2 linked regions of the Oryctolagus cuniculus genome follow. The protein of the gene in region 2 purifies or fractionates together with the protein of the main gene of each other region. This does not show direct contact. Links are inferred from orthologs where the notes say so. Each region holds a gene or a part of one and is shown on either strand. Other genes may lie near its edges. The genes, in order: PPP2CB and ANKLE2.

What was found.
Region 1: the proteins of ANKLE2 (region 2) and PPP2CB purify together in Homo sapiens (affinity purification with mass spectrometry; 4 studies listed by BioGRID and IntAct, counting the BioPlex papers as one, with this or other methods). This does not show direct contact. The link is inferred for Oryctolagus cuniculus from reciprocal best matches to the Homo sapiens genes ANKLE2 and PPP2CB.

Annotation. Positions count from the first base shown.
Region 1 is NC_091433.1:80,845,125-80,861,046, forward strand, and holds the start of PPP2CB (serine/threonine-protein phosphatase 2A catalytic subunit beta isoform), read right to left. Parts: upstream 9,686-15,922; 5' UTR 9,683-9,685; coding exon 9,581-9,682; intron 8,923-9,580; exon of another isoform or gene 8,908-8,922; coding exon of another isoform or gene 8,869-8,907; intron 1-8,868.
Region 2 is NC_091452.1:806,987-822,731, reverse strand, and holds the start of ANKLE2 (ankyrin repeat and LEM domain-containing protein 2), read right to left. Parts: upstream 7,983-15,745; 5' UTR 7,938-7,982; coding exon 7,757-7,937; intron 1-7,756. UniProt on the Homo sapiens protein: Involved in mitotic nuclear envelope reassembly by promoting dephosphorylation of BAF/BANF1 during mitotic exit.

The sequences.
Region 1 (15,922 bases), on a different chromosome or scaffold from region 2:
GGGTACAGCAAGATTGGCTGCCATCTGAGCTATCTGCATCCCATGTTGGAGTGCGTGGGATGTGGTCCTGCCCCTACTTTGAATCCAGTTTCCTGCTAATGTACTTGGAGGCAGCAGGTGATGTCCCAAGTACTGGGGTTCCTGCCATCCATGTGGAAAACCTGGACAGAGTTCCAGTCTCCTAACTTTGGCCCAGTCCTGGCTGTTGTGAACATTTAGGGAGTTAACCAGCAGATAAAAGGTCTCTCTCCTTAAAAACAAACATTTGTGGAAAAATGGAATTAAAAGACACATTTTCCATGAACTTTCCGAAGTATTTTTGTATAAGCAGGATTGTGTGTCTTCCTGTAGTTAACAAGGATCTTCCATAAATGATAATTTTACTTTTTTTAAATATATGGAAATGGAGCTATGCTTTCATTTCAACAAGTGTCTATGTGCCACCCAATGTCAAGCTTTGAAAACACAAGTAAATCATAAACTGTTGTAACTGAAAAAAGAGGTAAATATATAGGTACATAGGTCAAGGTACACTAAGGAAAAAACACTTTAAGATGCCATACCTATGATCTCACTTCAGTAAAAATACTGCACCACAAACATCCCCACCCTACACATTTTTGCCTACAGATGTAGGCCTGGAAGAGTACATACATATTTTACGTAAGGTGAAAATGTGCCTGCCAGTCTACAAATCATTATGTAGGTAAATAGGTATGCATCATGATCACTCATCTTTTTTTCAAAATGTGATTGGTCACACACAGCAAAATGTGTAGTAATGTTGCCTCCCCGTCTTGCTTGTTGCATTTTTCTTCCACTTTAAAAATGTAATTTCTTTTGGCCACAAGCAAGTAAAACAGGATTACAGAAATCAAAACAAGTCAGAGGTTTTTAAGATTAAATATATATATATATATAGAGAGAGAGAGAGAGAGAGAGAGAGAGAAAACATATAAAATATATAGGGACTTTAAACACTTGCATGTTGCATTTTAAAACTGCTATTCAAAGGAGGAAGGAATTTGGCCAAAAATGATGATTTTGCAGCAAAGAAGTAAAAAGCTTAACATGGAAATAAAATCCGTATCCCAAGTATACAGAACAGCTGACTGTGGTAATGACTGACATTGCTGCCCATGGAGACTTTATTGCCAACAACTTTAGCAACATAAATAAACTTAGAGACATAATGATGGTATCCCAGGCCAAGTGCTACTGGCAAAAATCTCATTAAAGAAATTCTCAAGAGATATTTCATGATGCTGAAAGCACAAAGGGAAAACACTGGAAGTTCATTCAAACTTGGAAAAAAGTAGGGCAATTCACAAATTCATACAAAGACGCATACTCCATCTTAAATATTATAAGACAAGCACTGTTCAAGGTACTCTGGGCAAGATTTTTTAAAAATAACAACTTAAAAAAAGATTTATTTATTTGAAAGGCAGAATTAAAGATCTTCTATCCACTGATTCACTCCCCAAATGGCCACAAAGGCCAGGGCTTGGCTGATCCAAAGCTAGGAGTCAGGAGCTTCATCTAGGCCTGAGACTAGGGGCAGGGGTCTAAGGACTTGGGCCACCTTTCACTGCTTCCCCAGGTGCATTAGCAGGGAGCTGGATCACAAGCGGAGCAGTTGGGACTCAACAGGTACCCACATGGGATGCTGGCTCCACAAGCAGCAGCTTTATCTGCTATGTCACAGCACCAGCCCCAGTAACTCATTTTTTAAAATTACCCACAAGGGCCAGCACTGTGGCATAGCGGGCTAAGCATCCGCCTGCAGCACCAGATTCCCCTTTGGGCACGGGTTCCTGTCCCAGCAGCTTTGCTTCTGATCCAGCTCTCCGCTGTGGCCTTGGAAAGCAGAAGATGGCCCAAGTGCTTAGGCCCCTGCACCCACGTGGGAGACCCGGAAGAGGCTCTTGGCTCAGGCTTCGGACTGACTCAGCTCTGGTCACTGTGGCAATTTGGGGAGTGCACCAACAGATGGAAGATCTTTCTCTGTCTGTAACTCTACCTCTTGATAAATGAATAAAATCTTCAAAAAATTACCCATAAAATAACAAAATAAAACATGGATAAATATATTAGAATCAGTGTGTATCATCAAATGGTATTTCTCAAAGTGCAAGCTATCTTCCTGGACCTGTCCAAGATATAGTCAGTCCTGTAGATAGAGTCAGGGAATGCAAATTTCATTTCCTTTCCAAGTGATTCTTACATTTAAATATTAAGGAAAAGATGGATGATTTGGCTACATAAAAATGCTAAAGCTAAAGCTTGTATAGTGAAAATTTGCAAAAACCCTGGTAAAGAATAAATGTTTTAAACTGGTTAAGTTCCAAAGAATGTACAGAATCAAGAAAAGACAAAATACAAAATTAAAATAAAAGAGGCCAACAGGTGGCACTGCAGGTAAAGCCACTGTCTGGGATGCCAGCATCCCATATGGGTGCTCACTCATGTCCGAGCTGCTGAACTTCTGACCAGTTCCCTGCTAATGTGCCTGGGAAAGCAGTGGAAGATGGCTCAAGTGTTTGGGTTCCTGATACCCACAAGGGAGTCCCCGATGAAGCTCCTGGTTTCAGCCTTGCCCAGTGCTGGCCACTTAGGTCATCTGGGGAGTAAACCAGTGGATGGAAGACCTCTCTTTTTTTTTTAAAGATTTATTTATTTGAAAGAGTTACAGAGAGGAGAGGCAGGGAGAGGCAGGGAGAGGCAGAGAGAGGCAGAGAGAGGCAGAGAGAGAGAGAGAGAGAGAGAGAGAGAGAGGGAGGGAGGGAGGGAGGGAGGGAGGGAGGGAGGTATTCCATCCGATAGTTTACTCCCCAATTGGCCACAATGTCTGGAGCTGCGCCGATCCCAAGCCAGGAGCCAGGAGCTTCTTCCAGGTCTCCCATGTGGGTGCAGGGACCCAAGGACTCGGGGCATCTTCCACTGCTTTCCCAGGCCATAGCAGAGAGCTGGATTGGAAGTGAAGCAGCCAGGTCTTGAACCAGGGCCCATATGGGATGCTGGCGCCGGCCCCTCTAACTCTTTCAAAATAAATCTTTTTAAAAAATTAAACCAAAGAAGCCAGCTCAATAAGGGGGAAAAAAAACTCACACACTGTACATAATCTATGATTCTGATAATAAATTCACCCATATTTTCTTTATAGTAATTTGGTATTATTTTTATCTATTAAGTTCTTATTACCTGTAATCTGTTATGAAATAAAAATCTGGTAGTGAAGAATTAACCCAACCCTTTGAATGTCACATCTTAAAAAGAGTGTCTCTGGGAGTCCAACCAGCAGACAGTGTAACAACTGGATTTATGAAGCTGGCTTTACATTATTTTTATATATAGAGAGAGGTAATTGTATTTATAATGCTAGGTCTCAGTTTGGAGAAACTGGAGACTAAAGACATCAGCCCCAGGGCTGGCACTGTGGCATAAAAGGCTAAGCCTCTGCTTGCAGTGCTGGCATCCCATACGGACGCTGGTTCAAGTAGTGTCTCCTCCACTTCTGATCCAGCTTCCTGCTAATGCATGTGGGAAACGTGGGAAAGCAGCAGAAGATGGCCCAAGTCCTTGGACTCCTGCACCCACGTGGGAGACCAGGAAGAAGCTCCTGGCTTCCACCTGGCCCAGTCCTGGCCGTTGTGGCCATCTGGGGAGTGACCCAGCAGATGGAAGATCTCTCTCTCTGCATCTATAAACCTTAAAAAAAAAAAAAAAAAAAAAAAAAAAAATTAACTCCTCCTGGATTCTGCTCAAAGTGTCTCTTCCCTTGTGCAATTAAAAACTCAGGCTATAACTCAAATTGTATTTTAATTCTTTCAATCAAAAAAGTATCTCTGTCAAATACTAAGTTTACAAAGAATGATAAAACGCCCCAGTTTACAAAAGACACAACAAATCAAGCCTGGACTTGAGTTTCTCATTCCCTAGAAAGGAAAATTCCATGTGTAATGTACAGACAGCCTTCTCAGGGCTAATTATTAAAGAAATTCGGGCTTGAAAGTAATGTGCAGGGGGTCTGGTGCTGTGGCATAGAAGGTTTTGAGCTTCCACCTGCAGTGTTGGCATCCCATATGGGCAAGGGTTCAAGTCCCACTGCTCCATTTCCAATCTAGCCTCCTGCTAATGCGCCTGGGAAAGCAGCAGAAGACAACCCAGGTGCTTGGGCCCCTGCACCCACATGGGAGATCTGGAAGAAGCTCCTGGCTCCTGGTTTCTGCCTGGCTTATCCCCAAACCTTGTGGTCATTTGGGGAGTGAACCAGCGGGTAGATCTCTCTCCCCCCTTCTCTCTGTATCTGTGCCTTTCAAATAAATAAATAAATCTAAAAAATTAAAAAAAAGTAATGTGCAGGAAGTATTAGGTAACAATCAACTATTCAGGGATAGCGAGTGTGAAAGAAGTCATCACATGAGTTACCTTTAGATTAGGGTTATATTTCATTACATTTACTGGAAGGAGAACTTACAAGTGAATCAGTTCAAAACAACTGAAAATTCCTATTTAATCTAATGTGAACTCACATTTTTCATACATATTTGATTAAACGTGTGGTTTTAATACCATTTTCTTAGGAAAAAATAAATTTCGAAAACAGAATTCGCAAAAATAAAGTGAGCACTAGTTTTTTTTTTTTTTTTTTTTTTTGGACAGGCAGAGTGGACAGGGAGAGAGAGAGAGACAGAGAGAAAGGTCTTCCTTTGCTGTTGGTTCACCCTCCAATGGCTGCTGCGGCCGGCGCACCGCGCTGATCCGATGGCAGGAGCCAGGTACTTCTGGTCTCCCATGTGGGTGCAGGGCCCAAGCACTTGGGCCATCCTCCACTGCACTCCCTGGCCACAGCAGAGAGCTGGCCTGGAAGAGGGGCAACCGGGACAGAATCCGGCATCCCGACCGGTACTAGAACCCGGTGTGCCGGCGCCGCAAGGCGGAGGATTAGCCTAGTGAGCTGCGGTGCCGGCCTATGAGCACTAGTTTTGTCTTCAATTTCTGGCATTTTGGTTTTCTGTCAAAGAACTTCATTTGCCAAGTTATTCATAGCATTTGTCCTGAAGAAAAGGCCGAAAGAAAATTTTCTGCAGAATCTTTGTATTACAATGAAAAGTATATATGACAAATAAAACTTAAATAAAAAGAAACTTTAAAATATACACATCTTTAGTTTATCGACCTATGTGCATGATTTTACACATCACACATGGTCCAGAAATGAGGTGATTTAACAAAGTCTGTTTCCTAGTCATTAGCAATACTTAATGTCAGTCTAGTCTGGATTAGTATCTTAACCTGTCTGCTAAAGCAGTTGGCTTAGATAGCATGAAATCATTTTGTTCAGTCAGTAGAACTGGGTCTCAACCTTGTATTCCACTGCAATCATGGCATTCTTTGTTATAGAAAGAAAGGAGCTGTTTTCTACATCACTGCATTTCAGACTTTGTCAATGGACCACCAAGGCTGGCATTAATCTTTGTTAGAGGGAAAATTAAAAATGAAAGTACTGATTAGGCTTTTTCAAGATCATTATTGTTCTTAAGCTGAACCTATCACAAAGAATAACCTAAAAGATTTTTCTCGACTAACAAAACCAGTTCATTTTTACCAGTTCATTTTTCATTAAGATGGTTTTGGGCATTCAGGAATTTAAGTATACCATTTCACATTAAGAACGAAGTAACATGCTGAAGGTATTTTCACTTATTTCAAGGCCAGAACCCAGAAACATATCCATCAGTCCATATTCATCTCCTGCACAAGCCTCAATGTTTTCCTCAGCAGCTTTTATAATTAGATCTGCCAGCACACAAACTAGCTCATTTTCCCTGCCCACCTAGAGAATCATAATCAGGGTTCTTCAGTCATAGCATTTACCAGGACAAAGAGCCTAAGACTTTTTACTCTTTTATTTTTAAACTTTTACTCTTCTGGACACAACAGTTAGATACAGTTCTCATCACAGAATGTCCTTAACAGCACCAGATCAGTTGTAAAATTCCTGTGCATACTGCTGTGACAACAATGAATCACACACCCAATTTCTCTGCAGACATTAGGGATGTCAAATTCACGATCAGCTTCCAAAGCTGGCTTACTAATTAGGTGTTACTAGCTAGTCTTCTCAGAAGATATGCCTTACTATTTTATGCAGTGTTTTACTACACAGGAAGTAACCTCAGATGCAGACACACCACACTATCCCACTATTTTTTGTGGTCATTTGCCCACTGGCACTACAATGGATTTTCTTTCTTCCACTACCCCACAATAGGCCTTTACTAGTACTCCTTTGGTCTTGAGGTCAGCTGACTCCTTGTTTTAAGGCAATCTGATTTAGAAAAGGAAATTAATCCTAACTGAAAAACCATCACCATAGAGTGTAACTTCCTATATAGTATTTCCAATAGAATAAAAAAGTAATAAAAAGTTAAACTAAAATCTAGTTGCAAGGAATTAAAGATGACACTCATCTCAGAATTTTGTGCTTCAGATAACGAGGACACTAATTTTCAGGGTCCTATAGCCACTGTACATACATTCCCCTTTGATTCACCACAGAAGTGGTATCTATTTATTTTGCACTTATTTCCTAAAGAAAATGATAAGGCATTTAACACAAGATCCACATTTTTAGCTTTCCCTCATTTAACACTCACTGACTTTTACTTTTTGTCAGGACGTCACATGGGGTACTTATTTAAAAAAAAATTATTTATTTGAAAGGCAGAGTGAGTGAGTGAGAGAGAGAGAGAGAGATGGCTCCCATCCACTAGTTCACTCTCTGAATGGCTGCAACCATCAAGGATGGGCCAAGCCCAAGCCAGAAGCCCTGTGGAACCAGTGCTGATATGGATGCCAGCTTCACAAGAGGCAGCTTAAACCCTCTATGTCTCAATGTCGGCCCCACACACGGGCACCATCTTAATATAATCAGTTCAAGAGATCAGTGAATATGATCCCTGCCTGGCAGGTAAGAAGTCAAAGGTGCCAGATGGGCAGCTAGCAAGTGGAGCACAATTTGAATCCAGACGGGTGGAACGCTACACCTGTTATTAACAACAAGCATGAGGTAGGGATATAAAACCAGAACTAAGGACTACAGGTAGACCCTAGGTTAGTACCTAGTTGGTACTCTATATCCATAGAGATATATCCTCAGATTCAACCAACCAGAAATTATGATATGGGGGAAAAACTGCCTCTGTACTGAACACAGACATTCTATTTCTTATTCTCTAAAAACACAGTATAAAAACCATTTACATAATATTTTCATATCAGGTGTTACAACTTAGAGATGATTAAAAATATACAAGAGGGACCAGCGCCGTGGCTCACTTGGCTAATCCTCCACCTGCGGCACCAGCATCCAATATGGGCGCCGGGTTCTAGTCCCGGTTGTTCCTCTTCCAGTCCAGCTCTCTGCTGTGGCCCGGGAGGGCAGTGGAGGATGGCCCAAGTGCTTGGGCGCCTGCACCCGCGTGGGAGACCAGGAAGAAGCTCCTGGCTCCTGGCTTTGGATCGGCGCAGTGCCGGCCGTAGCAGCCATTTAGGGAGTGAACCAACGGAAGGAAGACCTTTCTCTCTCTAACTCTGTCAAAAAAAAAAAAAATATATATATATATATATATATACACAAGAGGAGGTATGTACATTACATGCAAACACTGCACATTTTATAAAAGGGACTTGAGCATGGGGACTTTTGGTATTCTTATAGGACCTGGACCAATCCAGCACAGATACGGAGGCACCACATATGCCACAAAAGTAAGCCATAGTTGCCAGAACAAGGCGGCTACACTGAGAGCTGCTGAACTACTGGCACTCTGCTCCACTGGCAACTCTATCAAAGTGCACAGAGCACAAACACAAATGCAAGGCGATCTTCACTTGAGCTTCACATTTTGTGGATAACTACAATCAAAGATAGAACAGGTCAACGCGTAAGTAAACTATAGCTGTAAGATCCTAGGTAGTTCAACTTATTTAGGAGGTGAAGTAAAAATAATCTCTCGATAAATACACAGTTTCCTGGCATGATTTAAGATTTGAGTGCAATTATCAATGTACTGGTAAAATAGTCTCCTCTAGGAAATTAAAATTATTAGAAAGTCAAAAAGAAAAACTGATTCAACTACCACTTTAGTCATAACTTCAAGTCTGTATCTGACGTTCACAGGGAGGTTAACCAATTCAGCTAATTACTCAAACTTGATGCTGGAGCTTGAGAGTTTAGTAAAGCGTAAATTGTAAGACCCATGAAATCACAGGTTTTCACACACACACACACACACACACACAAATGTGGAATGAAGGTACAAGCAAGCAGTTTGCTTCAGGAAGAGAAATATACCATTTCTGTGGCACTTCTATCTGCAGAAATAAATTCAAATTCACTTTTATCTGCAGAAATAATAACATGTAGTTATTCAATATGTAAGCTCCCTGGGCACTTGTTAAAAACAGTGGCTACCCCTCCATCCTTTAGTTGCATAATTTAAAAAGTGCCCTACTGGGGCCTGTGCTGTGATGTAACGGGTGACATCTTTACTTGATGACTGAGGCTGGTTGAGTCCTGGCTGCTCCACTTCTGATCCAGCTCCTTGCTAATATGCACCAGCGTGGGAAACCTGGAGGCGGCTCCTGGCTCGGGCAGGGCCCCCACCATTTGGCGAGTGAACCAGCAGATGAGAGATCTCTCTCTTCCTCTCTGTAACTTTGCCTTTCAAATAAATAAATCTGTCTTTTTTTTAAAAGTGCCCTACTAATAAGGCTTAAAAAATTACTTCCTCAGTGCTTTTCTGAGGTATGCGGGCTTTCAAACACATTTAAGAAAATAACCTAAAATAACCTCCTTACTCCAGTACCTCGTGGACTTCCAAGGGGACTTTCCAACATACGAATACATGAAAACTAATTAGTCCACAGCGCAAATGATGAATGAAGAACAACTGGAGGCTCTCAAGTACACCACCTGCACAGGTGAGAATTCCACGGGTTCACAAAACAATGGCTTCCGAATTCAGAAAGCTAAGACCAGACACCTGACAACAATGCACTGCCTGCAGGGTTTACCCCCGTTTGGGGACTGGAAACAACTTTCTGAAAAGTGCCACCCTGCATGACAACTCACAGGACGGGACTTTAAGAAATTTTTTTTTTTTGGTGTAAAAAACCGATTTTTAAATCCACGAGCAGTCTTTAATCCTTATAGGCATTTTCCACGAACTGTCCCCGAGCTCCGGCCTCGCGGCGCGGGTGCCGCCAATCCACGCGCGCCGTGCGGGGCGCCATCTGCGCGCACCTCTATTTTAAAAAAGCCACCGTCTGCCATCACGCCCACCGCTCCGGCGCGCGGGAGCAAGTTGGCCGACCCCGACGACGCGGGGTCGGGTCCCTCTCGGGCCGTCACGCCCGTTCCCGGCGGACACCCGAGTCGGCAGCGCGGGGGCGCGGGCACTGCCCCGAGCCGACTGCGGCGTCGGGGGCCGGCGCGGAGCCGCGGCCAGGCCGGGCAGGGGAGCCGCCGCCGCCGCCCAGCGCCCCGCGTTCCTCCCCGGCCGGCCCTCACCTTCTCGCACAGCGTCCGCACTTGGTTCTCGTTGAGCTGCTTACACTCGTTCAGCTGCTCGACCCACTGGTCCAGCTCCTTGGTGAACGTCTTGTCGTCCATGGCGGCCCGCTCCCCTCCCCCACCCGCCCCCGCCCCCGCCCCCGCCCCGGGCGCCGCTCCCCTCACCCGCCGCCGCCGCCGCCGCCAAGCCCCGAGCGGGACAGGAAGGAGCTGGGGAGGGTGGCCGCGGGCCCCGCACCCGGCTCAAGTCCAGCGGGCGGCTCCCCGAGGGCACCCCGCGTCCGTCCCCGCCCAGGGAGTCTGTGGGGGAAGCGGAAGGGTCGGGGTCGGGGGGGGGGTGGGGGAGCGCGGCGAGGACGCTCTGGACGCAGCTCCCGCCGGGCGATGGCCGCCCGCGACCGCTGCCGCCGCCCGCCGCCCTCTCCCGGCTCCGTAGCCCCTACCCTCTCGCCCTTTCTCTCCCCTCCCTGAGGGTTTCCGTCATCGCCCGGGCATTTCCGCCGGGAAGAGGCGAGCGGGCGGCGCCGCCGGGGCACGGCCGGCGAGGAGCGGAGCAGCGCCCTCGCGTGGCTCGGCGGAGAAACGGCCCTGGGGACCCGGGGTCGGGGGCGCCTGTCCGGTCCTCTTGCTTTCTCTGGTCTTTTCCTCCCAGCCTGGTCTTGGCTCCCCTGATTTCTTCCCCAACATCTTGTCCTAGGGCAACTTCGTGTTCACCTTAAGCTCCCGCAGTGCGTTTCCGCCGCTCTGGACAAGGAATTTTATTCTCCCCAGCGTCAGGCACTCTTCCGAAGCAGGCATTCAATTATTTACAGAATAAATTTCTTCTAGCCGGGTGTCTCGAACGCTCGCTTGCAATATCGGGAAGATGAAATGATTGTTTTGTGCGATCGTCTGGGTCGTTTCCAGCTCCAGCAGTGTTTACCGAGGTGTAATGATTTGGTCAACACGCTCTTGGTGCCGGCTGCCGGCTGCTGGCCAGGCACCTTGTCCGGCACATGCTAACCACCCACACTTCTTCCCTTAGAGATTCGCAGTGCTGGGCGGAACCCCAGAGGGAGGCGGCATCCTGGGTGAGAGGGCAAGTGTTCCTGACCTGGCAGTCGCCACACCTCCTCAAGCATCAGCTTCCCTTCTCAGGCTCTGAGAGTCAGAGGTTGAAAGTGCCTGTCCCGTGGTACACCATGGGAGCCATGTGTCTGTTGTTTTTACTGTCCTGGGGAACACTTTCAAAGAGCTTTAGAATGGGAGCATTTTGAACTGAATTATTAAAAAGCATTTATTTATTTTGAAAAAGTTGGAAAGGTAGAGAGAGATCTTCCACCCACTGGTTCACTCCTAGCTGGCCACAATAGCTGGCACTAGGCCAGGCTGAAGCCAGGAGCCAGGCACTACATCTGGGTCTCCCACATGGGTGGAAGGGGCCCAAGCGCTTGGGCCATCTGCTGCTGCTTTCCCCAGGTTCATGAGCAGGAAGCTGGATTGGAAGTGGAGCAGCCGGGACACCAACTGGCTCCCTGATGGAATGCTAGCATTGTAGGCAACAGCTTTAACCCGCTACACCACAATGCCTGCTCTGAATGTTAAGAGAGAACCCATCTGTTGGTTTTCTCCCCAAATGCCCTCAAACGGCCAGAGCTGGGCCACATAACAAGCCATAAGACAGGAACTCAATCTGGGTCTCCCACATGGGTGTCAGGGGCCCAAGTACTTGAGCCATCACTTGCTGCCTCCTAGTGTGCATTACTAGGAGGTTGGTACTGAACACAGGCACTCTGATATGGGCTGTAGCATACCAAGGTGGGGGGCTTAATTGCTATACCAAATGCCCACTCCCAACCTGAATTTTGAAACTTATCCTCCTCCAATCCCCCCCCCCCCCTCCGCAAAACCCTGAAGCTGCCTGGAGAACAGGAAAGAAGTTTTAAGGAATCTGTGTGTGTGTGTGTACCAGAGGACAGATGTACCCAAGACCACTGTCTGTCTGCAAAGCTGTAAATACTCCCAGCAACACAAATAGGTCACATGGTGGGAAATGAGGCTGGAAGGGTTCTTGCTTTCAAGCAACTTGTAAAAGGTAGCAAACCAATGGAGCGATGAGCAGATGCTGGAAAGGTGGGGTACCTGGACAATCGTAGTAGACATTGCTCGCTCTCCGGAGGCTGAAGTTCACCTAAACCTGAAAAGCAGACTGAGAATATTTCTGGAATTCCTACAGTAGATGGGCTGAGAACAGAAAATGTACCCTGAAGAGAAATGGAAACTATAGATGGTGGTTAGAGAGGAAGATGGGTGAAATAGAAGCAAGTGTGTTTGGAATTAATCTGCGACAATGTTCTTGGAGTTGGGGGGGTGCTTAGGTGAACTTGTGAAAATAATACTTCCAGAATGTTTAATCAAATAGTGCTGAAGAATAAATCAGGATGCTTTTTTGGAGCATTTTTCTTTTTTTAAGATTATTTATTTATTTGAAAGGCAGAGTCCCAGAGAGGCAGAAGCAGAGAGAGAGAGAGAGAGAGAGAGAGAGAGAGAAGAGAGAGAGAGAGAGAGAGAGAGTGATCTTCCATCCATTGGTTTACTCCTTAGATGGCCACAACAGCCAGAGCTGCACATATCTGAAGCCAGGAGTCAGGAACTTCCTCTGGGTCTCCCACGAGGGTGCAGGGGCCCAAGCACTTGGGAAATTTTCGACTGCTTTCCCAGGCCACAGCAGAGAGCTGGATCAGAAGTGGAGCAGCCGGGACTCGAACCAGCACCCACATGGGATGCCGGCACTGCAGGCGGTGGCTTTACTTGCTATGCCACAGCGTTGGCCCCTGGAGCACTTTCTATATACTGTGTATTTAATATGTATGTTCTCATTTAAATACTCCAATAAGCCTGTGAGGCAGGTGTTGCTATCCTGCATTTGATAGATAAGAGAACCAACATGCAAAGGTATGAAAACGTGTTCAAGTCACACAAACAGTACTGGTGGAGTAGACTTGACACCGTGTCTGTCAGTCTGACATCCACGTCCATGCTTAAAAATGGCCTCTTTAGTATGGGCGGGAGCAAGAAAAGCCAAGGGTGGCAGAGTGACAAAGGCTTGATCTTTGCCACATCAGTTTTCACTCTTTCCTTTGTGAAGTCATCATAATTAAAACCAGAAGCTAGAGGAATGGGCACTGTGGCTCAGTGGGCTAAGGCACTGTGTGGAACACCCTGCATTCTATATTTGAGTGCTGGTTCGAGTCTCAGCCACTCCAATTCTGATCCAGCATCCTGGGAGGTATGAGACCTGGGTGTAGTTCCTGGTTCCCGGCTAGGACTAGGGCCAGCCCTTGCTAATTGCAGGCATTTGGGGAATGAGCCAGTGATGGAAGATACTTTCTCTCTCTCTCTCTCTCTCTCTCTCTCTCTCTCTCTATCTCTCTCTCTCTCTCTCTGTCACTCTGCCTTTCACGCAGATGAAAATCAGTCAATAAAAATGGAAACTAGAATTCTTTGTTTTCTTTGTTCTTTGTTTTTACATATGTACGCACATATTAGGGTGTATTTTTAAAATCTTTTTAAAGATGTATTTATTTATTTGAAAGGCAGAATTATAGAGAGGCAGAGGCAGAGAGAGAGAGAGAGGTCTTCCATCTGCTGGTTCACTCCCCAGATAGCTGCAAGGGGCCAAAGCTAGGCTGATCCAAAGCCAGGAGCCAGGAGCTTCTTCCCGGTCTCCCATATGGGTGCAGGGGCCCAAGGACTTGGACCATCTTCCCAGGCCAGAGCAGAGAGCTGTATTGAAAGTGGAGCAGCCAGGATTTGAACCAGCGCCCATATGGGATGCTGGCACTGCAGGCGGCGGCTTTAACCGCTATACCATAGCTCCGGCCCCTGTGTTTGTGTTTACAGAACACAGTCATCAGTTCCCAGTCCTTGCTAATTACTTGGCATATAGGTTTCCTGTTTCCAACTATAAAAAATTACTTGCCATATAAAACCGTATTTAATCTTAGATTTGTAGGCCAGTTTCAAGTTTTTTGTTCTCTAGAAGTGGTTTCATTTTTACTCTGTTTACCTTTCTCCTCTTGGCCAAAGATTTTTAAAATTGTTGACTTCAGCAAATCCTTTGCTTTAAAATTTATTACATGTTAAGATTTTATTCCTACACAGTTCATTAGGCTGCTTTTAATGTATATATAAATGTTGGTATTTTTCTTGGTGTACTACACCATCTAAAAATATGAACTGTGGAGCCAGCATTGTGGCATAGCAGGTAAAGCCACCACTTGTGATGTGTGGTGTCCCATATGGGCACCAGTTTCTGTCTCAGTTGCTCCGCTTCCCATACAGTTCCCTGCTAATAGCCTGGGAAAAACAATGGAAGATGGTCTACATGTTTGGGCCCCTGCTGCCCATGTGGGAGACCTGGTTGAAGTTCCTAGCTTTGGCTTGGCCCAGCCCTGGCCTTTGTAGCTATCTGGGGAGTAAACCAGGAGATGGAAGCTTTCTCTGTTTCTACCTCTCTCCAACTCTGGCTTTCAAGTAAATAAATAAAAATCTTTTTTAAAAAGTAAGAATATGAAATGTGAATCATATCTTTTAATGTACACAGTTATATTCTACAGTAAAATTATACCTTATTTTAAAAAATATATTTATTTGAAAGGCAGAGATACGGAGAGAGAAGAAAGATATTTTCCATCCACTGGTTCACTGAAAGTGTAATAGCAAGATGCCCCATTTATTGTGTGTGTGTGTGTGTTTTTTTTTTGTTGTTTTTTTTTTTTGTTTTTGTTTTTTTTTTTTTGTTTTACAGGCAGAGTGGACAGTGAGAGAGAGAGACAGAGAGAAAGGTCTTCCTTTTTGCCATTGGTTCACCGTCCAATGGCTGCCTTGGCCACCGCGCTGCGGCCGGCGCACTGTGCTGATCCGAAGGCAGGAGCCAGTACTTTTCCTGGTCTCCCATGGGGTGCAGGGCCCAAGGACTTGGGCCATCCTCCACTGCACTCCCGGGCCACAGCAGAGAGCTGGCCTGGAAGAGGGGCAACCGGGACAGAATCCGGCGCCCCGACCGGGACTAGAACCCGGTGTGCCGGCGCTGCAAGGCGGCGGATTAGTCTATTGAGCCACGACGCCGGCTCCATTTATTGTTGTTTGAAAAGATTTACTTATTTGAGAGAGAAAGGCTTTCATCCACTGGTTCACTCCCCAGATGGCTGCAATGGCTGAGGCAGGGCCAGAATAAGCCAGGAGCCTGGAACTCCATCTGGGTCCCCTGCATGGGTGGCAGGGGCCCAAGCACTCGGACTATCTTTCACTGCTTTCCCAGGTGCATCACCAGGAAGCCGGATCAGAAGTGGAGCAACTGGGGCTCGAATTCTAATACAGGATGCTGGGGCCACGGGCAGTAGCTCAACCCACTGAGCCACAGTGCCAGCCCCACGAGGCCCCATTTGTTTGGCTTGTGATGAGGCTCCGTCACATCGTAGGGGACGGCATCGTGGTGGGAGTGAGAGAGAGCCAGGAAGCCAGAGCGCAGGGATGGGTCAGGCCTGCTTTTTTTGTAACAATCCAATCAAGCTCTCACGACAACCACTTTGATCTCTTCCATGGGCAGCACCACTAACAGCCTAAGCTCCTCGGACCAGGCCCAGCTCCTGGAGGTCCCACCACCTCAGCACCAGCACTTGGGACCAAGCCTCCAGCACATGAATCCTTGGGGGACAAACTGAAGCCATCCCTAAGCCATCGCATGCTTTAATAGATTTTACTTAAACAGTTACTGTTCCCTCTCGTGCCCCGCACATTCTTGGTTCCATGACTTAATATTTACATCCACATGAAACTTTTTTCCCGCCTCCATGCACATAGAGACCTCTGATCTTCACAGACAAGCGTCAGAACTATTTTTTCCCATGCAGATCTTCCTCTTCCTCTGACACCAAAGGAACACAGACCTGCCTATTTTAAAATGTCGTACCACATCTCCTATCTGCTGGTTCACTCCAGTGCTGAGCCAGGCCGAAGCTAGGAGCCCACAACCCAGCCCAGGTCTCCCATGTACCAGGCCTCCTAGAGTGTGCACTAGCAGGAAGCTGGAATGGGAAGTGGAGCTGGTTTCACACTCAGGCACTCTGATAGGAGACGCAGCCTTCCTAAGCGGCATCTTAACCACTGTGCCAAATACCTGCCCCAACATCACATTTTTAATTCCAACTAATCCTAATATAGCCGAGATTTCTAGTTGTCTAGCAATGTGCACTTTACTTTTTTTAAATGAACAATTCTGTTTGGCGTGCAAAATGCCCACTTGAACATTGCCTAGGAGTGGGGATATGGCATTAATTCTGGTGAAGGGATGTAGGG
Region 2 (15,745 bases):
ACTATGCAGCAGGGGCCATTTGAGTATATTTACAGTGTGGCATCATTCAAGGCCACACACAGTTTTCAACTTAAAAACTAGCCTGCCATAAATTCACTGCATTTCAAGCCCTACCTGTGGTTGCCTTGGCTAGGCCAATGATTCCACGGACTTCTACGGCCATCCCCTACTCCTGCTCTACAGGCTTGTGTGGCCAGCTGGACTAGGGAGAAGGTAGAACAGGCGGGCACAGACTACTGCTGCAGCAACAGGGAGGCCCTAACGACAGGACAATCAGACACCCGAGATGAGGCTGGAAGGACTGTAACACAGGCCTGTGGTAACACCCACTTTTCCTAGTCTAGATGCTGGGAAAGAAGGAGTCAGAAGAACAAAAGGAGGGAAATTCTTTTTTTTTTTTTTTTTTTAACAGGCAGAGTGGACAGTGAGAGAGAGAGACAGAGAGAAAGGTCTTCCTTTGCTGTTGGTTCACCCTCCAATGGCCGCCGCGCTGCGGCCGGCGCACCACGCTGATCCGAAGGCAGGAGCCAGGTGCTTATCCTGGTCTCCCATGCAGGTGCAGGGCCCAAGCACTTGGGCCATCCTCCACTGCACTCCCTGGCCACAGCAGAGAGCTGGCCTGGAAGAGGGGCAACCGGGACAGAATCCAGTGCCCCAACTGGGACTAGAACCCGGTGTGCCAGCGCCGCAAGGTGGAGGATTAGCCTAGTGAGCCGCGGCGCCGGCCAGGAGGGAAATTCTTTTCCAGACTCAACAGCAGAGCCACTCACAAGCACCTAGCACATACACAGAGCCCATGGAATGAGGGTTGTTGCTGTTTTTTTGTTTGTTGTTGTTTAGGCTTATTTATTTATTTGAGAGTCAGAATTACAGAGAGAGAGGGAGAGAGACAGGGAGACAGGGAGAGAGGGGGAGGGGAGGGATCTTCTATCTGCTGGTTCACTCCTCAGATGGCTGCAATGGCTGGGCTGGGCTGAAGCCAGGAGTTTCATCCATGTATCCCATGTGGGTAGCAGGGGCCCAAGCACCCAGGCCATTAGCAGGGAGCTGGATTGGAAGTGGAGCAGCTGGCACTTAAACCAGCATCCATACGGGATGCCAGCACTGGCTATTTATTTTCTTTTTAAAGATTTATTTATTTGAAAGTCAGAGTTAGAGAGAGGGAGGGAGATCTTCCATCTGTTGGTTCACTCCACAACAGGACACAACAGCTGGGAATGGATCAGGCTGAAGCCAGGATCTTCTTCCAGGTCTCCCATGTGTGTGCAGGGGCCCAAGCACTTGGGCCATCTTCCACTGCTTTCCCAGGCCATAGCAGAGAGCTGGATCGGAAGTGGGGCAGCTGGGATTCCATGTGGGATGCTGGCAGTTTTAACTGCTATGCTACAGCGCTGGCCCCACAGTAGAGGAGTTTAAGAAGTGTTCACCGATAATGATGACGGAACGGGACATGCAGGGCTAGCTTTGAATTTCAGCAGGACACAAGACAGAGGGCACGGGGCATCTACAACATTATCACCTGCTATGGGGCTGGTATTACTGCAGAGTAGGTTAAGTCAGGGTCTGTGAGGCCGGTATCCCATATGAGCACGGTTTTGAGTCCCAGCTGCTCCACATGGCACCCAGCTCCCTGTTAATGTACTGGGGAAGGCAGTGGAAGATGGTGCGAGTGCTTGGGCCTCTGCAACCCACGGACACCTGGATGGAGTTCCAGGCTCCTTGATCGGCCTGGACCAGCCCTGGCCATTGCAGTCATTTGGGAGTGAACCATAGGATGGAAGACCTCTATCTCTAACTCTTTCAAATAAATAAAGCCATCTTAAAAAAAATTAAAACCAAAAAAAAATTTTCTTGGTGCCAGGTGCATGGGAGGGGCACCCATCTAGTTCTGTGTATTTTTTTTTTTAATTTAAAAGCATGTTTTATAATTCCTCATGGATACAGGAGGAAAGAATATTGAAGCATTTTTCCTGCTCTGTCAGCACCAGTCACAGGAAGGCTGCTGTGATCACCGATATGGGTCTTTTCCACACACAAAGCAAGCAGTCAGTTCTGCAGCCGGCACTGTCTCCCTGGAGGCTCAGTCCAACAAGACGCTCCCCCAGAAAATGCCAACATACAAGGCTGTGCATATCATTTGCATTTGATTAATTTTTCTGAGCAGCTTATCAGCTTACCCATTTATTATTATAAAGGATATCATGAAAGATACAGATGAAGAGTCCAGTGGTGGAGGCACACAGGGCAGGGCACGGAGCTTCCCTGGGCTCTCCAGGGCCATCTCCAGGAACTTCCTCAGAGCAGATCAGAAACTCTCATTGTACAGGCATGGCCAGCCAGCTATGGGCATTGGTGATGGACTCAACTGGCAGTCCCTCCTCTCCCCTCCCTGGTTACAGGGAGGTGGCACTGAAAGTCCCAGCCCTCTGGCCTTACTGTGACCAGCCCAGAACCCATCCTGATGCTACCCAGGGGCTGCAGGCCATCAGTCAGCTCATTAGCATACAGAAAAAGACACGGCCTTGAAGATTCAAGGATTTAGGAGTTGTATAGGAGGAAATGAAAAGATCAAATATGTTACTTCAGAGTAACACAATGCCAACTCCACAAAGATTTTAAAAATGACTCTTCATTATCTGAACTGGGATACTGATCTTTGAAACAATGAACGTATTACACAGTCCCCTATAAAGCTGCCAAGGACTGGAAGGGGAGGCCTAACGACCCCAGATTCTGACCGGGTGAGCACTAAGCCCAATTCTGGCTAGGTGTAGGGAAGTGGTACGAAGGCTCTAAGGACTCTGGGGCAGAGCAGGCAGAGGGCGCCCACAGCTGCAGGCAAGGTGAGCAGGAGCAGACCCGCCAGCAAGCATTCCTGGGCAGCAGGCATCCTTATACCAAGGCCAGCCCTTTAACTTGGGTTTGAGAGGGATCCCTAACAGAACAAATACATGGAATCCCTGTTACAACAGAATCAAACCGTGTAAATGCTAAGACTCTCTTTCCTCATCTATAAAGTGCACACTATAATAACTCTACTTTGAGAAATCAGTCAAAATAAACACATTCAAATCTGTATCACTGTGTCTGACATGACAAGTTATTTGTAAATCTCTACTACAGCTATTAAGCTACCGCAGGAACACAGGTTTAGTAATCTCTGAGAATAAGTATTTAATATGCTAGAAAGTCAAGTTGAAACTTTTAAAAAGTACACTGTTTCCAGTATTTGTAATCATTAACAGAAGAGCCTGCTTTCATGCACACAAGGAAGCCAAGGACAAAGCAGAACAGTCTGGGGAACACTGGGAGTAGAAAGGTGTGGGGAACAGCACCTTTTTTTATTTTTTTTTAATTTTTTTTTTTTTTTTTTTTTTTTTTTTTTTTTGACAGGCAGAGTGGACAGTGAGAGAGAGAGACAGAGAGAAAGGTCTTCCTTTTGCCGTTGGTTCACCCTCCAATGGCCGCCGCTGCAGCCGGCGCACCGCGCTGATCCTGGCAGGAGCCAGGAGACAAGTGCTTTTTTCCTGGTCTCCCATGGGGTGCAGGGCCCAAGCACCTGGGCCATCCTCCACTGCACTCCCTGGCCATAGCAGAGAGCTGGCCTGGAAGAGGGGCAACCGGGACAGAATCCGGCGCCCCAACCGGGACTAGAACCCGGTGTGCCGGCGCCGCAAGGTGGAGGATTAGCCTATTGAGCCACGGCGCCGGCCAACCTTTTTTTATTTTTAAGATTTTCATTTATTTATTTGACAGGTAGTTAGACAGTGAGAGAGAGAGAGAGACAGAAAGGTCTTCCCTCCGTTGGTCCACTCCCCAAATGGCCTCAATGGCCGGCGCTGTGCCGATCCGAAGCCAGGAGCCAGGTGCTTCTTCCTGGTCTCCCATGCGGGTGCAGGAGCCCAAGCACTTGGGCCACCCTCCACTGCCTTCCCAGGCCACAGCAGAGAGCTGGACTGGAAGAGGAGCAACCGGGACAGAATCCGTTGCCCACATGGGATACCAGCGCCGCAGACGGAGAATTAACCTAGAGCGCCGCAGTGCTGGCCCCGGAACAGCACTTTTGACTGCAAGTGTTTTAGGGTCCTGACTTTCAGAAACATGTTGGTAATTCATATACTCAAAAATCAAAGGGCCAGCACTGTGCCTGCAGTGCCAGCATCCCATATGGAAGCCAGTTTGAGTCCCAGCTGCTCCACTTCTGATCCAGCTCTCTGCTATGGCCTGGGAAAGCAGCAGAAGATGGCCCAAGTCCTTGGGCCCCTGCACCCATGTGGGAGACCAAAAAGAAGCTCCTGGCTCCTGGCTTTGGATCAGCCCATCTCCAGCTGTTGTGGCCATTTAGGGAGTGAACCAGAGGATGGAGGACCTCTCTCTCTCTCTGCCTCTCCTCTGTGTAACTCTGCCTTTCAGATAAATAAATCTTAAAAAAAAAAAAATCAAATAAACTCAATACAAACCAAAACATGCACCTTGGTATATATGAGTAACACGGTAGTGTATGTGGATATTCCTCTAAGTAGTTCTGGAAACAGCAGGTGAGCAGGTACCCCAAAGCTAACCAGACCTGCCACAGTCCAGCAATGCATTCCACACAGCAGTCTGGCTCGGGAGTTCTGAGCTCTCCCTTGTGTACACTGAGGGCGAAGCAAAAGCGAGCTCCTCACTGGGGAGTCAAGAAAAGGTGTCAGGATGAACCTGCGGCTCCGAGGTTAAGACGCCACTTGGGACACCCACTTCCCGTATCAGAGGCTCTCAGTCCTGTCTCCACTTCTGACCCAGCTTCCTGTTGATATGCCTCTGAGAGACAGCTGGTGACGGCTCATGCACCTGGGTCCCTACCACACAGGAGGAATACTGGAGTGAATTCCTGGCTCCTAGCTCCTGGCTTTGGTCTGGTCCAGCCATTGCAGGCATTTGGGGAATGAACTGGAAGTTCTTTGTTTTGCCTGTCTCTACGCCTATCAAGTAAATAAATTTTAAAAAACAAAAATCTTTAAGAAGCTGACACTGACACAACACCTTGAACCTCCTGGGCTGCGGGCAAATTGCTTCTCATACTGTCAGTTTCACTTCTACAGGTTTCCTTTTAGGTGCTCAGTTAGTTGTCACAGATCAGGGAGAACATATTTGTCCCTTTGGGACTGGCTGATTTCACTCAGCATGACGTTTTCCAGATTCCTCCATTTTGTTGCAAATGACTGGATTTCATTTTTTTTAGTGCTGTGTAGTATTCCATGGTGTACTTTATCCAGTCTTATGTTGATGGGCATTTAGGCTGATTCCATGTCTTAGCTATTGTGAATTGAGTGCAATAAACACTGAGGTGCTGACAGTTCTTTTATTTGCCAATTTAATTTCCCTTGGGTAAATTCCGGGAGAGTGGGATGGCTGGGTCGTGTGGTGGGGTTATATTCAGGTTTCTGAGGAATCTCCAAACCGTCTTCCATTGCAGCTTGACCAGTTTGCATTCCCACCAACAGTGGGTTAGTGTGCCTTTTCCCCAACATCCTCACCAGCATCTGTTGTTAGTTGATTTCTGTATGTGAGCCATTCTAACAGGGGTGAGTGTGTGTGTATCTGTGCCCAGTTCTGTGACAGTGTGTGTGACCATCACCACAGAAATGTCCATCACCACAAAGACCTCTCTCCTACTGCCCCTTCACAGTGACACCCAATCTCCTCCATGGGCCCCAGCCCCTGGCAACCACAAATTTGTTGTCTATAATTTTTCACTGTAAGAATGCTATACAAACGGAATCCAGTACACACCTACAGTATTGCTCCTTCTCACTCTGCACTGGGCCCTTGAGCCCCAACCACCCTGAGGAGTAGCACTTGTGGTCGGAACAGGGTCTATTTAGCCATTCACCCCTAGAGTGACACGCACATATGAGATTTCGTGTGAAAAAAATGTTCATTTCTCTACAACAAAGCTCAGGAGTGCAGGGCAGGTTTAACTTCTCTGAGAAATGGCCAGACTGATTTCTAGAGGGGCTGCACCACTCACGCACTCTGCCGACTGGAAATACGCTACATTTAAAGTTTAGCCCTTAATCCTCTGCCTGCGGCGCCGGCACACCAGGTTCTAGTCCGGGTAGGAGCACTGGATTCTGCCCTGGTTGCCCCTCTTCCAGTCCAGCTCTCTGCTGTGGCCAGGGAGTGCAGTGGAGGATGGCCCAAGTGCTTGGGCCCTGCACCCCATGGGAGACCAGGAGAAGTACCTGGCTCCTGCCTTCGGATCAGCGAGGGGCGCCGGCCACAGCGCGCCAGCCGCGGCAGCCACTGGAGGGTGAACGAACGGCAAAGGAAGACCTTTCTCTCTGTCTCTCTCTCTCACTGTCCACTCTACCTGTCAAAAATAAATAAATAAAGTTTAGCCTTTACTACAGGTGTGCGTGCTAGTTCATCGTGGCTGTATTCTGTATTTCCTTAGAGAAGAAGGACACCAGAGACCTTCTCAGATATGTTTATTTTCTCTGCACTAGTCTTCCACTCTGTTATAAGCCTATGGTTCCAAAATGAAAAGTCAAAGTGAAATTCTCATTGGAAAACCCCCACAGCCTCCTGTGTCTCGGGCCTTCCCTACCAGCCAACAAACAGGCTTCAGTGCCAGCCTCCGGCGTTGCACGCTGCGTCTGCGTGTCTGCGTCTGCTGTTGACGATGCAGACGACAAGCAAATGTGCTGTTTCTTCAGGGTGCTGCCTGGGGCAGGTATTGAAGTGCAGGGGTTCAGCTGCTGCTTGGGGTGCCAGCATCCCATACTGGAGTCCTGGGTTCAAGTCCCAGCTCTGCTTCCAATCCAGTTTCCTGCTACTGTGCACGCTGGCAGCAGCAGGTAGGGCCCTGCACCGTGTGGGAGGCCTGGCTTTGACCTGGCGCAGCCCTAGCTATGACAGGCGTGTAGGGAACGAATCAGCGGGATGTCTCTCTTCTCGCTTCTCTGCCTTTCCAATCAATAAAAGTGTAAAGGCGCTGCCAAAAGCTTTCCCAAGGGGACAAGAAAAGGCAAAACTCAGCAGGAGGAAAGCTGCACCGGCCTGGCGCCTGCCACACGCGACCCCAGCAAGACGCCCACCAGCCGCGGGGGCTGTTCCCTCAGCCTCCGGGACAACCCGAAGCCCTAGGCTGCGAGTTTCGCTACCCGTCCCCCGCGAACACGGAAGGGGCTGTCGCCTGTCCCCCTGGAGGAGCACGGGGAGGGGTTTCTCGGTGCAGTCGCGTTTTGAACGCACACCCGCACCTAGACACCTGCCCCCGCGCGGAGCTCCCCGCGCCTTCCGCGCGCTGAGGCGCCCTCGCAGAGCCGGGGACGCGTCACGCAGCCGCCTCCCGACAGCCCCACGTGCACGGCGAGCGCGGGCACCGAGCCTGCGGCCCAGGCCCTGGCGCCTCTCGCGGCTCCCGGCCACCAGCGACCTGGCTCAGAGCGCCTCACTCCCGCCGCCCGCGTCCACGCAGCACTCCCGGGTCGGCGCCGACACCCCAGCTACACGCGCCGCGCCCTGCGGGCTGCGCGGACGCCGCTCCCGGCTCTCCGCACCGGCTCCCGCGCAGTGGCCGCAGGGGCCTCTCCAAGGCGAGCCCGCCCGGCTTCCGGCGCGGCGGGTCCAACCGCTCTTCCCGCGCCAGGGGTAGGTACGGAGGAGGCGGCGGCGAGGGGCGCGGAGCCCGGGTCCAAGAGCTCCCAGCACGGCACCCAGACGCCGGGAGGCGGGCGAGGGGCGCGGGGCCCACCCGGCCGGCCCGACTCACCTGGGTCCGGCGCGGCAGCCGCACAGGGCTGCGGGGCCGGGGTCCCGCTGCGGTCCAGGCCCCGTGGCCGCTTCTCCAGCCGCCGCACCAGCCAGCGCACCGCGAGGAGCAGCACCGAGGCGCCCAGCAGCTCCCAGGCCAGCGCCGCCCACTCGGTCGCCGCCAGCCGCGGCCACAGCATCGCCGTAGCCGCCGCCGCCGCCGCCGCCGCCGAGGAGCCCGGGTCCTGCGTCGCCCGCGCGCGCCGGGCTGTCCGCGCCACTGCCTGGCGGCGCCGCGCGCGGGAGCGGCTGGCGCGAGGCGGGGCCGGCGCTTGCGGGGCCGGGCGTCCGCCCCCTCCCCCAGGGGCCCAGCGGAGGGGCGCGGCTGCGGCCCCCACCCCAGGCGACGCGGGGCGGGCCAGCGCGCTGTCAGGGACTGGTGCGGGCAGCCCGGCCGCAGGGGTCCTGATTCGGGCGCGGCGCAGGCTCGCGGACGTGGAACTCCGCGGCCGGTAAGTGGCGGGCAGCGTGGCGGCCGGGCGGTGCGGGGAGCCTGCCCAGGTCCTGAGAGCCGGGCGATTTCCAGAGACCCGGGGGCCACAGGCCGGGCCGGAGGGCTCGCTGGAGGCCTGCGGGGCTGGGCGGTGCGGGGCAGGGGCCGAGGTCGAGCGCGGGCCGCACGGAGGTGCCGTCTGCCCTGCAAGCTGCCCGGAGGGCCGCACGCAGGCCCCGTGCCCCGCAGCTGCTCCCGCCTCGCGGACGAGGCCGCTCCGCCGGCGGCTGTGGCCCGTTCGTTCGTGGCTTGCGGCTGTCTGCGCTCAGGGGACGCGGTGCTTCCCGTCAACTCTGCGGGCCTCGCCTGTGGTTTGGCGTGCGCCGTTCTCGGTCCCGGGTGCGCAGTTCCGTGTGCTTGCCGACGCTGGGAGACTACTTAAGTAAAAGACCCCAAAGACAGACTTGTGCTTGGTTTAACAAAAAGCCATTGAGTGGCACTGGGAGGCCACGGGGCACCTGGAGGAAGGGTCGGTCCATCCGAGGAGCGGAGAAGTGCGGGTTAAAATCACAGAGGGGCCGGCTCTGTGGCGCGGTGGGCTCGGCCTTCCCCTGCGGCTGATGTCCCGGAGGAAACTCCTGGCTTCGGCTCGGCTCGGCGCCGGCAGTCTGGGGAATGAACAGCGGATGGAAGACCCCTGTCGCTCCCTCTAACTCTGCCTCTCAAACAAATAAAGTCTTAAAAAATCACAAGGAAGTCCTGCTTCCCACCCAGCAGAACGGCGGGAACTGGGACTGACGGTATCAGATTCTGTGAGTGTGCAGCAGCTTCGGGGTTCTCACACGTTGCTGGGGGGACCGGAAGAAGCGCTGGCCACTTTGGGAAACAGTAAGGCAGCTCCTTGGTTTGGACTGAATGTTTGTGTCTCCTCCCACCACAACCTCCCCCAAATCCACACATTGGCATCCTAACTCCAAGGGGACGATCATGGGATATGGGACCCGTGCGAGGTGATGAGGTCATGGGGCAGAGTCCTAATGAATAGGTTTAGTGCCCACATAAAAGAGGCCCGAGAGAGACCCCAGCACACAGCAAGGTGCCATCTCTGGACCAGAAAACAGGCCCTCAGCGACACCAGGCCTGCTGGACTTACCCAGAACAGCTGTAAGAAGTTGTTCTGTGTATTTAGAAAAAGGCAGAGAGAGAGCCATCTTCTGTCTGCTGGTTTGCTCCCCAGATGGCTGCAGCAGCCAGGGCTGGGCCAGGCTCCCACCAGGAGCCTGGAACTGTCTCCGTCCCCCAGGGCAGTGGCAGGAACCCAAGTGCCTGGGCCGTCATCTGCCTTCCCAGGCACGTCAGCCAGAAGCTGTAGATTGGAAGTATGGAGTAGCCAGTACTGGAACCAGGCACACTCGTGCGGAATGCAGGCATCTGCAGCAACAGCCTGGCCCACTGTGTCAGCGCTTGCCCCAGTCCATTTGCTGTGTTTATGGTGCCTTGTCCCAGGACCCTGGACAGGCTGAGGCCGTTGCCCTGTGGCTCAGCTCTGCATCCCAGGAGGCTTGGAGATGGAACTGTAGATTTGCTCGCAGGTTCACAGCAGGAGGATGGATGAACAGGTCGTGCAGTTGTGTGATGGTGCCCACGCGGGAGTGAGTGTCGTGGCTCAGCGTGTGAAGCTGCCTCCTGGGATGCCTGCATCTCTCATGCTCTGCTTCTGATGCAGATTTCTGCTAATGCAGCTGGGAAGAAGTAGATGGAGGTTCAAGTTCTTGAGCCCCTGCCACCCGCTGTGGGAGGCCCAGGTGGAGCTCCTGGCTCGCCCACCTACAACCAGTAAACCCACAGATGGGAGCCCACGCTGTCACTCTGCCTTTCGAATAAATCTTTTCAGAAACCACACATAACATACCAAGCGAAAGACGCCAAACACAAGAGCATGCACATTCAGTGGTTCTGTGTGCGTGGGTCCAGGATGGGCAGAGCTCATGGCGACAGGGCCGCCTGGGCTAGGCATGCGGCGTCCTGTCTTGGAGTCCACGTTCGTCTGAACTCGTCGAGCTCTGTCCTTAAATCTGTATCTTTGTAGTGTACATTATGCCTGCATTTTAAGAAGTAGAGGCCTTACCACCTGTCGAGTGTACTAATGTAGACCGCTTGCCGCGGGACACTGGTTTGACTTCAGTGTTCCAGCCTAGGGCGGAGTGCGCCTTGAGGCGGGAATTTCGAGGGACAGTGCAGGGCTCGCCCCAGCATCCCCAGCAGCCTGCTGGCAGGAGGGAGCAGTGCCCGGGTCGCGGAGCCGTGGTGTTTGGGATGTTGGTTGTAGTAAATGTACTTTTGACTGGTTTGTGCCAGCGTGGGCTTGGGACACCGTGCTGGCACCGTCTGTGCACCTGTGGGATGAATGTCTCAGTGGTATCATGGCAACACTAATAGAACCTATCTTGGAAGTGAGGCGATGCATGGCATACCCTTCTCTGGAGTCACCACACGCCAAGGGCTTAGTGAACTGTACCCATTACTGCAGCCTTTATAAACATACGTTTAAGTTCTACACATACACGGCTGCTTCAGAAAGTTTGTGGAAAACGGGATTTTAGGGTAATTTATTTGGACGCAAAAAATTTTGCAGCCCATGCATAATTTTTTCACAATCCATGTTTTTTGTTTTATTTTTTTTTACAAACTATTTAAAAATTAATCAATTTGGGGCTGGCGCTGTGGCATAGTGGGTAAAGCTGCTGCCTGTAGTGCTGGCATACCATATAGGTACCAGTTCAAGTCCCGGCTGCTCCACTTCCGATCCAGCTCCCTGCTAATGGCCTGGGAAAGCAGCAGAAGATGGCCCAAGTGTTTGGTCCCCTGCGCCCACATGGGACACCCAGATGAAGCTCCTTGTTCCTGGCTTTCGCCTGGCCCATCCCTGTTGATTGCAGCCATTAGAGAGAGAACCAGCAGATGGAAGATCTCTCTGCCTCTGCCCTCTGTTACTCTTTCAAATAAATAAATAAATCTTTTTTTTTTTTTTTTTTTTTGACAGGCAGAATGGACAGTGAGAGAAAGAGACTGAGAGAAAGGTCTTCCTTTGCTGTTGGTTCACCCTCCAATGGCCGCCGCGGTCAGCGCACCGCGCTGATCCGATGGCAGGAGCCAGGTGCTTCTCCTGGTCTCCCATGGGGTGCAGGGCCCAAGCACCTGGGCCATCCTCCACTGCACTCCCGGGCCACAGCAGAGAGCTGGCCTGGAAGAGGGGCAACCGGGACAGAATCCGGCGCCCCGACCGGGACTAGAACCCGGTGTGCCGGCGCCACAAGGCGGAGGATTAGCCTAGTGAGCCACGGCGCCGGCCATAAATAAATCTTAGAACAAAAAAAGTTAATTTTGTTAATTTGAGAGGCAAAATGACAGAGGAGAGAGATTTTTCCATCCACTGGTTCCTCTGAGTCACAAATCCAAGTAGTTATGAAAGAATTGATTTTTAAAAAATATTTATTTGAAAAAAAATTTATTTATTTATTTGAAAGAGTTACACACGGCGAGAAGGAGAGGCAGACAGGCGGGGGGGTTGGGTCTTCCATCTACTGGTCCACTCCCCAGTTGGCCGTGATGGCCAGAGCTGTGCCGATACGGAGCCAGGAGCCTCCTCCAGGTCTCCCATGCAGGTGCAGGGGCCCAAGCAGTAGGGCCATCGTCTACTGCTTTCCCAGGCCATAGCAGAGAGCTGGATTGGAAGTGGAGCACTGGGATATGAACCAGCAGCCATATGGGATGCTGGCACCACAGGCGGCAGCTTTACCCACTATGCCACAGCGCTGGCCCCGAAAGAGTTGATTCTAAAGATGGTGTCTTGTGTGGAGACTGATGCTACCCAGTGCCCATGCTCTGTGTTACTAACAGAGACTTGCAGACAGCAGTCGGAGCTGCACCCTTGGCTGACACCTGTCCTTGACTCTTCCCACTTTGGGAATGCAGACAGAAGGCGGGACCTGGGGCCACACGTGAACTGCGGTTTAAGCAGAGATGGGTAGAGTGTACGTCCTCAGCACTGGGAAGCTGCCCTGGTCAGTCCCGTCTTCATGTTCTAGGAGAGACAAGCTTGTTTCAGCTCCTGAGCGCTGGCATCTCTGACATGGCAGCTTCACTGGCCTGATTTGTGTGTTTGTTTGTTTGTTTTTGACAGGTAGAGTTATAGACAGAGAGACAGAAAGAAAGGTCTTCCCTGCGTTGGTCCACTTCCCCAATGGCCACTACGGCCGGCGCTGCGCTGATCCGAAGGCAGGAGCCAGGTGCTTCTCCTGGTCTCCCATGGGGTGCAGGGCCCAAGCACTTGGGCCATCCTCCACTGCACTCCCGGGCCACAGCAGAGAGCTGGCCTGGAAGAGGGGCAACCGGGACTAGAACCTGGCACCCATGTGGGATGCTGGCGCTGCAGGCAGAGAATTAGCCAAGTGAGCCATGGCGCTGGCCCTGATTTGTGTCTTCACACGGGGTTCCTGGCAGCGCGGGGTCCTCACCCCCATCCAATGCCAATCATATTGGAACAACTGAAGATTAAAAATGGGAAATGACGGGGTGGGGCAGGCGTGTAGCCTAGCGGTTAGGGAGTGCCTGGGTAAGAGGCCTGCATCACGCATCAGGGCGTCTGGGTTTAGTGTTTAGCTTTCCTGCTCTTGCACACTCAAGAGGCAGCAGTGATGGCTGCATTCCTGGGTTGTGCCAGCTGCATGGGAGTGCGTGCCCAGTCCTGATGTCTTCAGTTTCTGATCCAGGGCCCACACGAGTCCCGGTGATTGAGTGGGAAGCACTGATATTTCCTATGGATCTCCCTCCGCAGAAGAGGGGGAGAGCAGGTTGGGAATCGAGATTCAAAGCAAGTGGAAGGTGGCAAATGGATTGTGAGGCCAGTTTCCTGCTGGTCACAGCAATGTGTGGGCAGAGGAATGACAGGAGCTGTCTGTGGTGTGACCACGCTGCTGCTGCAGCACTGGAGGTGCCAGAGGAGGCAGGGAGACCGTGCATGGCCGGGGTGGGGGTGGGGGGCAGGGAGACCGTGCATGGCCGGGGTGGGGGTGGGGGGCAGGGAGACCGTGCATGGCCGGGGAGGGGCCAGGGAGACTGTGCATGGCCGCGGGGTGGGGGGGGAGACCTTGCATGGCCGGCGGTGGGTGGGTGGGGCTGGGAGGAAGCTCTTGCCAAAAACAAAACAAAAAACCTACAGGCTTCTAGACCTGGCTGTGAGAATGCCTCCATGGACGACTGCAGGAAGCAAGGACTGGAGGAACACAGCTCAGACTGTTGAATAAACTGCTGTGAATGGAATCAAAAAGTGCTGGCTCCCCGGCAATCTGTCACAGCTCTCGAGGCAAACTGAGATGTGTTTGCATTTAGTCTCCACATCAGACTTAGGTAGTGGAACAAAGTACTTGTCACAGGAAACAGACTCAGTGGAGAATCATTAGTGATTTTTTTCATCTTTTATTTTCATCAATTGGGCTTCTAATTTAGGACCTCTGCCCATTAAGACTCCACCTGTGGAAATCCAGCCATGTAAGATGTTACAAACTGGGTGCGGGGTGGTCTTGCAGGACACAGCCCACTCCAGGTGATCCCACGGCGGCAGCAGGGAGCTCACGACCCTCAGGCGGACACAGAGCCCACGTGGACACCTGCTGGCTCCACAGCTAAGCCGGGGGTGGAGGGAGAGGGTGCAGGACCAGAGCCCTGGCCATGGGCAGGGCTGGGCAGGAAGGCAGAGGCAGACATGTCTGGTGGAAAGGGGCTGCCTACACGGCCATCACAGCAGTTTGCTCTCCAGTGACGGTGAGGCACTTTTTGGGCAGATGCACTCCGCCGGGCCCCAGAGTCTGTGGGGGTGACGGGGGTGACACTTGGTCCTCAGAGGCTTCATGGGAGGTGTAGGAGCAGGGGCTGTCCCTCTGGGGAGCTCTGGCACTCAGGGTATGCAGACATGATCAAGTAGTTCACTGTGAAGGGGACGTATGGCCCATATTGCATGTAAGAAAGCCCAGACTGGGCCAGCGCCATGGCTCACTAGGCTAATCCTCCGCCTGTGGCGCCGCCACACCGGGTTCTAGTCCCGGTCGGGGCACCGGATTCTGTCCCAGTTGCTCCTCTTCCAGGCCAGCTCTCTGCTATGGCCCAGGAGCACAGTGGAGGATGGCCCAAGTGCTTGGGCCCTGCACCCCATGGGAGACCAGGAGAAGCACCTGGCTCCTGGCTTCGGATCATTGTGGTGTGCCGGCCACAGCGGCCATTGGGGGGGGTGAACCAACGGCAAAGAAGACCTTTCTGTCCCTCTCTGTCCACTCTGCCTGTCAAAAAAAAAAAAAAAAAAAGCAAGCCCAGATCATCCACTGCAGATTTGCAATCCCTGTGGGAGGCCGAGTGAATGAGCCTCCCTGGTGGTGCTTCCTGCACTACCCTCACTCCCAGGAGGCTGGGAGGAAGTGCTGCCTCAGGGGCAGTCAGCGCCCTGCCCCACACAGCCGGTCTGCACAGCCTGCACTTTAGCTGGAGACAAAGCTCCCCGTGTGGACAGGCCAGAAAGGTCCCAGGCCAGAGTGCTGGCAGCAGGCCTGAGCCCACATGTCTTGAGTATGCACAGAAGTGGACCATGCTTTGGGTGCACCCAACACACAGGTGAACAAAGGGTATGGCAGCCAAGAGCAGAGGCAGGTCCAGCGACAACTTCATGTTGCATGTTGTTTCCAGAATCCCCAACAGTCCCTGTCAAATGGAACCACAGATAATGGCAAGCAGAGTAATCCCAATCAATGTGCTTCAGACTAGGTACTGCCGACAGCTGAGAATTCTTTCTCTTCTGTCTGGGAACAGCTGTAAAGTCTCCTAACAACCATCATGTTTATCCATCAAGACAGATGGCAAGAGCTGAGGTTCTATCCTGTGCTTCTTAGAATTTTATCAGGTGTCAGACTGCTAAGCAACCTGGCGACTTTTAGACACTCAGCCTTCTGTTAAGTCCTTGGGCCTACATTCAACCCACATTCCTCACAGTGCCTGCCACTGCTCTGCTAGGAGGTAGGTCCATTCATCTGTGCCAAAACCATACTTAGGAAACTCACTGGGGCTGGTGCTGTGGCATAGTAGGTTAATCCTCTGCCTGCAGTGCCGGCATCCCATATGGGCGCTGGTTCAAGACCCGGCTGCTCCACTTCTGATCCAGCTCTCTGCTATGGCCAGGGAAAGCAGTGGAAGATGGCTGAAGGCCTTGGGGCCCCTGCATCTGCTTGGGATACCCAGAAGGGGCTCCTGGCTCCTGGCTTTGGATCGGTGCAGCTCTGGCTGTTGCAGCTTGTTGGGGAGTAGACCAGTGGATGGAAGACCTCTCTCTCTGCCTCTCCTTCTCTCTAACTATGACGTTCAAATAAAGAAGTAAAAATTAAAAAAAAAAAAACCAAAAAACAAAAACTCACCATGGGGCCAGCATTGTGGCATAGCAGGTAAAGCTGCTGCCTGCAGCACTGGTATCCC